Linked DNA regions of Rattus norvegicus. The protein of the gene in region 1 interacts with the protein of each later gene in a pairwise test. Links are inferred from orthologs where the notes say so. Each region holds a gene or a part of one and is shown in the gene's direction. Other genes may lie near its edges.

The links. The genes of interacting proteins can lie anywhere in the genome.
Region 2: the proteins of Atf4 (region 1) and Ddit3 interact in binary tests that used the Homo sapiens proteins (3 or more experiments, as listed by UniProt). The link is inferred for Rattus norvegicus from reciprocal best matches to the Homo sapiens genes ATF4 and DDIT3.

The regions. Positions count from the first base shown.
Region 1 is NC_086025.1:113,682,588-113,688,386, forward strand, and holds Atf4 (cyclic AMP-dependent transcription factor ATF-4), read left to right. Parts: upstream 1-2,093; 5' UTR 2,094-2,277; intron 2,278-2,816; 5' UTR 2,817-2,908; coding exon 2,909-3,128; intron 3,129-3,203; coding exon of another isoform or gene 3,204-3,238; coding exon 3,239-4,062; 3' UTR 4,063-4,152; downstream 4,153-5,799. UniProt on the Homo sapiens protein: Transcription factor that binds the cAMP response element (CRE) (consensus: 5'-GTGACGT[AC][AG]-3') and displays two biological functions, as regulator of metabolic and redox processes under normal cellular conditions, and as master transcription factor during integrated stress response (ISR).
Region 2 is NC_086025.1:64,999,195-65,005,110, forward strand, and holds the start of Ddit3 (DNA damage-inducible transcript 3 protein), read left to right. Parts: upstream 1-2,500; 5' UTR 2,501-2,535; coding exon of another isoform or gene 2,536-2,598; intron 2,599-5,093; coding exon of another isoform or gene 5,094-5,135; 5' UTR 5,136-5,141; intron 5,142-5,916. Other genes in the region: uncharacterized LOC128125814 homolog, read left to right, coding at 2,536-2,598, 5,094-5,135. UniProt on the Homo sapiens protein: Multifunctional transcription factor in endoplasmic reticulum (ER) stress response. Plays an essential role in the response to a wide variety of cell stresses and induces cell cycle arrest and apoptosis in response to ER stress.

The DNA.
Region 1 (5,799 bases):
CTATGATCTCTATAATGTCAAATCAGGGTCAATGGTTTTAAACCTCTGTATGACCAACCTGTATGTTCAGGAGCCTTTGGTTAGAGCTGAGAAAAAAAAACATTTCCTTGACTGTTTGGTTAAGCAAACTTTATTTAGACTGGCCAGCCAAGCAGCCCCTCACTGGTGTTGGAGGTCCCTTTTATGGGAAAACATTAGGGTTGATAGAAAACAGCTGTTGGGATAATTGGCTGTTAGCACCTGAACAGAAGAGTGGGGGACTCAAGACTGCCTGTGGGGTAGAAGCATGTGATAGGAAACAGCTGTCAGGATAATTAGCTGTTAGAAAGGCGGCCATAAAAAGAAGTGCAAGCTTGTGCCATGTGGAAGGTTTCTGGGGAGACACAGTTTTGTATAGCAAGAGGCAGTCATGTATCACAGGTTCAGGAGTTTAGCAAATACATCACGGGGTTACAAATTCAGCATAAGTTAAAAAACATTTGTAGGATACATTACACTTAGGGGACAGAAACATGTAAGGGATGTCTACTTAACAATATAACTGTGGCTCCTGTTTCTGTTTCCAGAGCAAAGGGAGGACATAGTTATCCTTTGCATGGAGAGACTAGGAAACTTCTGTTTGTGTGCACATGTACTCATGACTTCTTTGTCGATAGAAACATCTCATTATGTAGGCCTTGTGCGTTATTTATTTAGTTGCTTTAGTCTCAGTAAATAATAATGAAAGGTCCTCTGAGGAAGGAAGATGAATCATGGAGTTAGGGAGAGAGGGACTTGGGAATTAGGTTTGAATTAATAAATAGCAATCAATAACCATGTAATCAAGGATGACCTTGAACCATGGTGCCCGAGTGCTAGGATTGTGTGTACTGGAGTACTTGGCTTGCAAATAATTACTGAGCAGTAAGGGGCGGGCACTGTGCCAATTGAGTGGTATTTGTATGAGTCACTTAAAAAGACGTGGAAACTCAAAAGATTGCAGGCTGGAGTTGGGAAGAGGGCCTCTCAGCACTTCCAAAACAGCATCCTTTATGGTGAGTTGTCCTTGACCAGTACTTGGGGCTTCCAACCACTTAAGCAGCTGCTCACTCACCAGGATGACTTCTTGGTAAGGCTATACCAGGAAGTTAAGACTTGGGAGTTAATCAGAACTACTCTAGGGCTTGAGATCCAACTGAATAAAACACAATATTAAGGGAACTGACCCTATACAAACCAGCAGTGATGGGCATATTTTAGAGTAGGTTAGATCTAAGGTTAGGTATATTTTCCCAGTACAGGATTCAGAGGAAAGATGCAGGGCTGGAGGAACCGGAGTATCTCCCAATAAGGCCCCAACATGAACGCCCTGTCTCAAAGTGCGGTCCCTGGACTGACAGGATTGGACCAGGTAACTCCAGAGGACCTTTCTATATGCCTAAAGCTCTGCCCATTTGGTTCTGAGAACAACAAATACAGGGAAAGAGGGCTTTCAGCCCAAGTGTCACTCCTGGAAAGCTGTTTGCTCCGTGCTGGACCAAAGCTGCCCGGGAGCGATGCCGGAGAGAGCAACTACATTGGGGTGACCTCTGATGAGTCGGTAGCTGTAAGAGTCTGGTACCCGGAACCTCTGGTGGCTCTTCCCGATATTAGTGCTCCTAGGGCGCCCAGGTTCAGAGCCAATAGAAACTTAAGGTTTAGATGACTCGTCACGCCTGGGCCAATCAGCTCGACGCGCGCTCCTACGGCGTCTCGCGTGATAACCAGGCAGCTTTGGCTTTGACCGTCATAGCTTTGGTTAGGTGTCTCTCCACGCCCTGTAAGACACCGGAAGTTCCGTAACGAGCGATCCCTCCGCACTCCGGAACGTGACTTCAGTTGGTCGCAAACCTATAAAGTAGTGCACTTTTCTTCCTTCATGGGGCCTTCAGGATACTCTGTAACGCCCCAGTTACTCCCCGAGCACAGCGGAGAAGGGTTTGGACGGGCCAGAGCGTCAATGGGATAGGGTTAGGTGGAGCGGCGGCGGGATCACGTGACCACGGTGGGAGGATACGGGGTGTACTGCGTCCCTCACCGATTCTATAAAAGGCGGGTTTAGGGCGTGTCGCCGCCATTTCTGCTTGCTCTGTGGTAGATGTCTCTCTGTACGCTGTTCCTTTCCTCTTCCCCTCCCGCAGGGCTTGCGGCCACCATGGCGTATTAGAGGCAGCAGAGCCTGCGGCAGCGTTGGCCTTTGCAGCGGCGGCAGCAGCACCAGGCTCTGCAGCGGCAACCCCCACCGGCTTAAGCCATGGCGTGAGTATTGGGCCGACTGCGCGGGCGTGTGCTTTGCTGTGTTTGGGTGCGGCCTGGGCGCGTTGACCAGCATACGCGGCTTTACAAGCGGCCAGACGCGTCGGCCTTGTTTGGGTGGCCCCGCAACGCCGGCGCACACGGGGAGGGTTGGGCAGGCGGCGTGGAGGGAGTAGTGCCTAAAACCCTGCTACTTCCTCTTCGTCCTCTCTTAACTTAGTCGTCTCGCGCCCCCCCGGGTTCCCGGTGTCATTCTGCGAACGTGGCGAGGCCAAGATGGCGGTGGGGCGGGGGGGGGGTGTGAGTCACGGGGGCGGGGCGCGACGGCCTTGGCCGTATTAGGACTTGAGGACAAGCTGCTTCCTCCGGGTGGCCGGTGAAGCAAAGCTAAGCCTCCATCTTGTGCAACCCGAGCTGGCGGCTGGGGAAGCTTACACAATGGCCTTGAGCCCACGTGCTCTCCATTTAGAAGCTTTTGGGATTTTGTCATCCAGCATCCTAGATAGAAAGATGATTGAACTTGCTTTTGGATCCTTATGCAGGCTCTTCACGAAACCCAGCAGCAGCGTTGCTGTAACGGACAAAGATACCTTCGAGTTAAGCACATTCCTCGATACCAGCAAATCCCTACAACATGACCGAGATGAGCTTCCTGAACAGCGAAGTGTTGGCGGGGGACTTAATGTCCCCCTTCGACCAGTCGGGTTTGGGGGCTGAAGAAAGCCTAGGTCTCTTAGATGACTATCTGGAGGTGGCCAAGCACTTCAAACCTCATGGGTTCTCCAGCGACAAGGCGGGCTCCTCAGAATGGCTGGCTATGGATGGGTTGGTCAGTGCCTCAGACACCGGCAAGGGTGAGTAGGGAGGACACCTGCACCAGTGTGCTCTTTTCATGTGGGTTTGGTGTTCTAAAGGTTTTCTGCCTCTAGTATGAACCGTTCTCTCCTGAAATTTTTTTCCCCAGAGGATGCCTTTTCCGGGACAGATTGGATGTTGGAGAAAATGGACCTGAAAGAGTTTGACTTCGATGCTCTGTTTCGAATGGATGACCTGGAAACCATGCCAGATGAGCTTTTGGCCACGTTGGATGACACATGTGATCTTTTTGCCCCTCTAGTCCAAGAGACTAATAAGGAGCCCCCTCAGACAGTGAACCCAATTGGCCATCTCCCAGAAAGTGTAATAAAAGTCGACCAGGCTGCCCCCTTTACATTCTTGCAGCCTCTTCCCTGTTCCCCAGGGTTTCTGTCTTCCACTCCAGATCATTCCTTTAGTTTAGAGCTGGGAAGTGAGGTTGATATCTCTGAAGGAGATAGGAAGCCTGACTCTGCTGCTTATATTACTCTAACCCCTCAGTGTGTAAAGGAGGAAGACACTCCCTCTGATAGTGACAGTGGCATCTGTATGAGCCCTGAGTCCTACCTGGGCTCTCCCCAACACAGCCCTTCCACCTCCAGGGCCCCACCAGACAGTCTGCCTTCTCCAGGTGTTCCTCGTGGTTCTCGACCCAAACCTTATGACCCACCTGGAGTTAGTGTGACAGCTAAAGTGAAGACTGAAAAGTTGGATAAGAAGCTGAAAAAGATGGAGCAAAACAAGACAGCAGCTACTAGGTACCGCCAGAAGAAGAGGGCTGAGCAGGAAGCCCTCACTGGCGAGTGTAAAGAGCTAGAAAAGAAGAACGAGGCTCTGAAAGAGAAGGCAGATTCTCTCGCCAAAGAGATTCAGTATCTAAAAGACCTGATAGAAGAGGTCCGTAAGGCAAGGGGGAAGAAGAGAGTTCCTTAATAGGGTAGTCAGGTGCTTTGTGCTTGTACATAGTCTTGTGATGCTGTGTTTGCTGTAATAAATTATTTTGTAGTGAAAGTAGCCATGGAAGTTTTCTGTGTCATTCTTTCTAATAGACTGCACAAGGTCTGGGTTGAATACGATAGCTACCTGGATGAGTTGAGCTGTTCAGGTAGTGAGACAGGTAAAGACTAGCTGGAGGGAGGGGGCTCTGGGTTAGTGAGGGCCAGCCCAGAATTGCACCTGTTCATACTGGCCTTGTGCCAGATACCTGCTGTGTAAGTACCTAGATAAGGTACAGTCCTTGAACACAAAGAGGATTAGGTTTCTCTTAGGCTTAAGGGATACAGCTACTATTTCCTGTGACAGGTGGCAAGCCCCACTCCAACCCTTCAGTTTGTTACTACAGATCCTCCCAAGGCGAGGTAAAAAGCCTACCATCACCCTCAACATTATTCCATTTGGCCCAGGGGCAGCTTAATCCAGCACAAGGATATGGTGGGGGGAGGAAGGGCCTGAGTGACAGCGGGGCAGAAACTGGTGGAGGCCCTTGGAGACAATGACTAACCTTCACTTGGCAGATGTTCTTTGTGCGTGAGAACTACAGCTGTTCCACTTCTATGTAATGTCACATGTCCACCCTGGCAATGCTCTAAACAGGGTTTCCCATAGCCCAGGTTGACCTTGAACTTGATATGTGGCCAGGGATGACCTTGAACCTTCCAAGTGCTGGGGTTATAGACCGTGTGTCACCACACCTGATCTGTTAGGTGCACCCTGAGGTAAAAGACCCAAAGAGTCAGCTAAGATCTAGCCACCCTCACCATGGTGACTTACAGCCCTTGCCAGGTATTGACAAAAGACTGGAAGTACTGTTTAGCCAGCTCAGACTGGAGCTGTTCTGGGTGCCCATTAGTTGGCAGAGAATGGCCTTCAGTTTTCCTATCACTGGTGATTGCTCAGCATGCACTACAAACTATCAGGGATGCCAACTGAACACAAGATGAACAGCTCAGCTTTTGTGAAACTTGCCTTCTAAGACAGAGGTCCAACGAAGGGCTGGCAGGCTGGGTGGAGGACCTGATCTAGGAGGAGTGTGCTGGGGGCAGGGAACAAGGTGGGGCCCGGGTGTGGGTAGGATGATACAGCAGCAGCCCCACTTCTGCGGCAGGCTTTTGGCTCACCCTTGTTGGCGAGCAGAAGCTAGGCTGTGTTGGCCAGTGAGGTGGATGTAGAAGACCCAAGTAAGGAGTCTTCTACTGCAGCGAGACCCATGCTGAGCACCTACTCAGGCAGTCGACAGGATGGACTGGGGATCTTTGCCATGGTGGACGGCAGGTAAATGCTAAAACCAGCATAGAAATAGACCAGCTCAGGTTGGGGGAATTGCAGACTGCTGGCCTTTAAGAAGGGGATTGTGTATAGAGGGTGAATACCAGCTCATCTATTTAGAACCTGACCAGCTTCAGTTCACCTTGACCTAAGCTCTCCCTACCCCACAAGCAAGACCACTCTAGGCAAGTCTGGTGTCCTGGTGGCTGGCCCTGAGTCCCCAAGACCACCAGTGGCAGTCCTGCTCCACTCTATACAGCTCTCTTGACTCACAGAGGACAGGCAGTTGTGGATGATCCAGTCTATAGCAGAAGCCACAGGAAGCATGGGGGTGGGGCAGCAGCTCTCCAAGTCCAGATCATCAAATTTTTTAACTGGCCTAAATGTTTGATCTTTGCATCTATT
Region 2 (5,916 bases), about 49 Mb from region 1:
AAGCATTCCCTGACATGTAGGGACGGCCCTTAGACCTGCAAGTACCCCTCACCAACCTCACCATCGCTCCCGCCGCACACTGACGGCTTCCAAACTTTCCCTCTCATAACAAGGCGCCCTGTCACCCAGACTGCTTCCTTCAGCTTGGGGAGGAGGGGAAGGCAGGCGCACGAAGTAGGAAGGAACTTGGGGAGAGGGCGGGTGGAGGGTGGGCGAAGCACTGAAGGGAGGGAGGTCAGGAAGGCAGAAGTCAGGCACTGAGGGGGAGAAACGGCGGGGCAGGTGAGGGTGCGGGGCTGTGGATGGGGCCGGGAAAAGGGGCCGAAAGGACGCGGAGGGGGCAGAGGGTAGGGACAGAAGGGGAGGAGAGAGAAGGGAGGGGGAGGGGCGGGGGGGCCGGGCCCCGCACTCACCGCGGCCCATGGTTCGGCTGGCCCCGCCCTGCGCAGTCGCGGCCCAGAGGGTGAGTGGGAGGGGGTGGGAGGTGGGTCGGTGGAGCCCGAGCCTCCGGTACGGCCCCGGCCGGTCTTAGCAGGAAGCGCCGCCGCCGCCGCCGCCGCGGATCACCGAGCGGCCTCCCGCGCATGCGCCATAGGGGCCAGGGGCAGCCCTGGGGATTCCGTTCCCAGAAGGCACCGCGCAGACTGCTACCGCCGCCGCCGTCGCTGCCGCCGCCACCGCCGCAGCCGCCGCCGCCGCCGCCGCTGCCCGGACGGGAGAGGGGCGGGGCCGGGCCCCCGCCCAGCGGACAGCAGCGAGCCAACAGGAGGGGACGCAGTGCGCATGCGGGAGCGCGCCTACCCCTCCCCCACAACCCCCCATTAATCCCCAAGAGAACAAACACCCCACGCGGCCCCCCCCCGTCCTCCGCGGAAGGATCTGGGCCTCTTCCCAGGCCACTGGTGGCCAATCCCAATCCTCCCTCGGGAGGGGCCCCTTCCGAAGCCACAATCTGTTGGGGGAGTCAGGAATGTCAGGTCCGGGAGGGGCCAGCCCTAAAAGATGAAAGTCGCGACTTGCCCTGCCCCGCCCCAAAGGCTTCCCGGGTAGTGTGCAGAGACTTGACCCGCCTCTCCAGGTCAACATGTCACAACACGACCTCAGCCTGTCAAGTCACATGACCTCTGCCTGTCACTGACAACCTGGTCTGTCTTTAGGCCAGGAGAGACCATCTGGTTCAGCCCACCCCCAACCTCTACTAACAGAAGGGGAAATGAAGGTCTGGAGCGAAGGAGCAGTCTGGCCAAGGACCTGTCACTGTCGCACCATCCAATAGCAACCGGTCTTGGTTCAGTTTCTACTTAGACAAACTCTGGCTTGCCCCTCCCGAGTGTACGACAGACTATGTAATAGGCCACCACATGGCCTCTGTTTTCATGGCACAAAAAATAGGTTTTGCAAGATGTTTTTACTTTTACTCAAGTTTTCTTCACAGTGCTGTTTTTACCTTTACCTATCATTCTTTAATTTACAACTGAGTACGGTAGATTCCTTGGGCAAATTAAACTAGAATGACCCAGTCCAGGCAATCATGCGCTCAAGTGCATGCACGTCCCAGTCTCTAGGTCGTGAACCCAGACACCTAGAGGCATGAGGCCAGCTAATCAGCAGGGAGTCACAGGACTTGCTATCTTGGAGAAGGAAAAGGGTGGGTATTGGGCTTAGTGAAGGGCATAAGAGCATCACACAAAGCAGGGGTAGGATAAGTAGGCAGGAGGCTACACTCTACAAAGAACTTGAATTCTGGCACGCAGTGGACGATTCTGAAACAAACGTTAAAGCTGCCCTTCTGAGAGAAGCGGATGGACTACCAAGGAAATGCCAGTACCTCAGTCTTTGGGAAGCGTTAGAAGGCTAAAAGAGGAGGAGGTCTCTTAAAAGACTCCAGAAGATGTCAATCCAGGTGAACAAATTGGAAACTTTAAAGAGGTTCAAGAGCCTCGGTGCCCATTAGTTGGGAGGGGCCAGGGAAAATGAGTCTTTTATGGAGGAGTAAGTTAAAGGTGATGGGAGGTGGGCAGACAAGTTCAGGAAGGACAGCCGTTGGGGCCGTTGGACACTGTGAGCTGGCGCTCCGCCTTCTTTCCTCTCTCCCCCATCCCCCCCTCCCGCCCGCTCCCCAGCACCTCCCACCACCATCGACGTCTCCTGCGCGTGCGCGCGCGGACACCGGTTGCCAAACATTGCATCATCCCCGCTCCCCCTCCGCCCCCCCCACGTCATCCCCTCCCTCGCCGCACTCTCCTCCGCGCGCGCGCATGACTCACTCACCTCCTCTGCGAAGCCTCGTGACCCAAAGCCACTTCCGGGTCCGAGATAACGTAGACTCTCGAGCCAGAGGGCGCGATGGAGGCGGGGCCACGGGACTCCTGAGTGGCGGACGTGAGGGGTGAGGCGGAGCCTGTGCCAGCGTGCCGCTTTCTGATTGGTAGGCTCCTGGACACTACCCCCCCCCAGGAGGGACCGAATAGCATAAAAGATACTCGCTCTCCGCTCCAGAGGTCAGTATCTTGAGTCTAATACGTCGATCATACCATGTTGAAGATGAGCGGGTGGCAGCGACAGAGCCAAAATAACAGCCGGAACCTGAGGAGAGAGGCGAGTACTGACTCCGTCTACCCCTTACTTTCCCATCCTCGCCAACATAGCTATTCCACAAAGTTAGAGGCAACTGTCCTTGAGGGTGTAGCCCCACCCCTTCCACTGTGAGTTTGTAGACTGAGGGGCGAGTGAAGGCGGGTAATTCCTGATTCGGGAATGGTGCTTACAGGCCACCTCTTTGGGCGATTGCATTCCCGTTCCCTTGTCTCAGGTTGGTCCCTGCTCTGCAAAGGGACTCCGGTTGCCTTCGGAAATTTGTCTCAGTACTGACCATTTGCGGGCCATCTTAGGCCTAGGCGGTTCGCAGGAAAGGTGGGGCAACAGGACACACCCCCCAATGTTGGGGACTCCGGCTGTTAGCACCTCTTCTCCACCAGCCTCATTCCCCCCAACTCTTTCAAGCTGAAGCGCCTCAGGGACCACCAACATGGCCACTTTAGTAGCTGTCTCTAACGTTCAAGACAACTCAAAGACTGACAGATCTTTGCGAGTGGGGGTGCCGGTGGGAGGAGCATAGATGGGTTTTTCCCTTTTCCCCAGAGGTTTCTGGGTTTCCGTACAAGAGAGCAGCCTGGGTCTCTTTAACTATGGGAAATTACTTGGGATCTCTCCAGGGTCTTCTGCTTCTCTTAGGACTGATCTCTGCTTCTTTCCTCAGTCCTGTCTCCCAACTAATCTCTGTAACCGTTGCATCAGGCCAGCCCACTGTTTGTCTCTGCACCCTCAGGCCTGGGGCTCCTCTGCTGATGAAAGCCAGGTCCCACACACTGGAAGACCAAGGAGTTTTCCCTAGAGGACAACCCTGCAGAGAAACACTCAGGGCAATATTGCGTCTGCAGTCCCCAGAGACAGGCAGCTCAGCTCTGCCTTTGGGCTCAGTGGGCTTAGTTGTTCTCTATTCGTTCCTAACAAATGCCTAATAAGCACCCACTATGTGCCAAGCATTTGGGGATCCAGGGTATATTAGAAGCAAAAGACGAAACTGTTCTCAATAAAACTTACATTTCAATGTAAAGCAAAAGGGGGGAAAAACAGAAGCAGGGAAAAAATAGTTCAGGATGGTGGCTAGAGGTTTTATCATTCAGGAATTGCCTCAGTGGGTGGGTGAGATGGAAAGAAGGCAAGCCTGTGAGCCAAGCAGGTAATGTGGAAGAGGTTTATAGAAGGGAGAGAAGGAGCAGAAGGGTTGAGATGAGTGTGCCAGTATCCTTAGGAGCAGGGCAGTGAGCTGGACTAGAGTAAGCAGGAGAGGGTGGTGAATGGAAACTCAAGTAGCAGGTCCTGTAGAGCCTTGCAAGCATTCTCAGGATGCTAGTCTTTCAACAGTCCTGAAACAGGAATCCATTGGGGGATCTGAGCAGAGGAATGTCCTAAATTAAAAGGGTTGGGGAAAGACCCCATGCATTTAATTCCAACACTCAAAGAGGTAGGAGCAGGCAGAGCTCTGAGCTCCAGGCCAGCATAGTCAGATCCTAACTCAAAATAAATACAAAAACAAAGGGTTGAGTGTGTAGCTCAATAGTAGACTGCTTGCCTAGTATGTAGAGGGCCCTAGGTCAACCCGCAGCCATGAAAATAAAAAAGACAAGAATAGAAACAGGAGATCTTAGCTGGAAATAATGGCAAATGCCTTTAACCCCAGCACTTGAAAGGTAGGTAGATCAGAGTTCAAAGCCAGCTAGTCTACAAAGTAAGTTCCAGGACAGCAAAAGCTACACAGCAAGACCCTGTCTAAAAAAAAAAAAAAAAAAAAAAAAAAAAAGATTTCAAGGCTTCCAAAAATAATCTAGGGAATGAAATGCATAATGCATGGTAAGTTTACATCTGGAAATAATGAGAAAAAGTGAGAAATATTTAGGTTTTGGGTACTTCTAAAGAATATTGAAGTTGCCAGTGCTTTAGACTGAGCTGTGGTATCTGAGAAGGGAGGAATTAAGGATACCAAATGTTTGGCTTTAGGCACCTATAGTTGCCATTTAGTAAGAACTGTACCCCCTTGGTAGGAAAGGCCTTTTGTGTAAGCTGAATGCCTGCTCAACAACCAAAAGAGATGGAGATCCCAGGGCAGGTCTGGAGGCTAGGATGGGAATGGAGTTTAAGCAAATACTGCTGAAATCTCTCTTCCCTGTATTTTAGTTCTCACTTTGGCAGATCTGAGGTCTATCTGGATTTAGAGAAAACTTAGTTGGCCAGGACTTTGCTATTATGTAATCAGGACTACAAATGTCAGCAACTAAAAATAAAGTTAAGCATGCCTGTCCTTGGCTTCAGGGACACACACACACACACACACACACACACACACACACACACACACACACACGAGCCTCTCTGTGGCCTGGTCTACAGAGTTGAGTTCCAGAATTCCAGGATGCCCCGGGCTTCACAGAGAAACTGTCTCAAAATCCAATGACAGAAATTAAGAAACCAGCTAGAGAAAGACCAGTAAGAGGCTAGAGGTAAAGGACCTGTTTCTTCCCCTTTCTCCACAGTGTTCCAGAAGGAAGTGCATCTTCATACACCACCACACCTGAAAGCAGGTAATCTTAGCCACCCTCCCAGTCAGCTCCTAATGCTGCTCAACTTGCTTTGCTGGGATGAGAGTTAGACCAGGCCTTGACCAGAACCAGCTTTTGCTGTCAGACCATGTCTTTCTCTGATCCCATAATGTTGTTTTAGAGCTGGCTTGTCTCAAAGTCAGCCTCAAAAATGGCAACTGGTTTGTTTTCCCAATTCTCAGTCCACACCAAGATTAACCCCAAAGGACCTTTAGTTCAAGCTTCCCACACAAGAAAAAAGGAGTACAAATAGCTTGGTAATTGCCCCTAGAAATTACCAGTAGTGTTCCCAAGTGAGTTGAATACTTTTACTGTAATCCTGTAATATGTATGCATAGCCAGGCACAGTGGCTCATTCCTGTATCTCAGAACTTGAGAGGATCCTGAAGTTATCTGTAGTAAATCCCTCTGAATAAAGGGTAGGTTCTGTCAGGTATAGTGATGCACACCTTTAGTCCCAGCACTTGGGAGTTGATCTCTTTGAGTTTGAGGCCAGCATGAGTTCTAGGACAGGCAGGGCTACACAGAGAGACCCTGTCTCAAACAACAAAAGAAGACTGGCAATAGAGTCTGGAGAGAAAGCTTATCAGTTATGCATGCTTGCTGCTTCCTGCTGTACCTAAATCAGGCTTCCTGCAGCCACATCAGGTGGTTCACATAGCCTGGAACTCCAGTTCCAGGAGAGCCAAAGCCTCTGGCCCCAAACACTGATCATGTATACACATGCAAATTAAAAGCTTGAAACAAAATAGTAGAG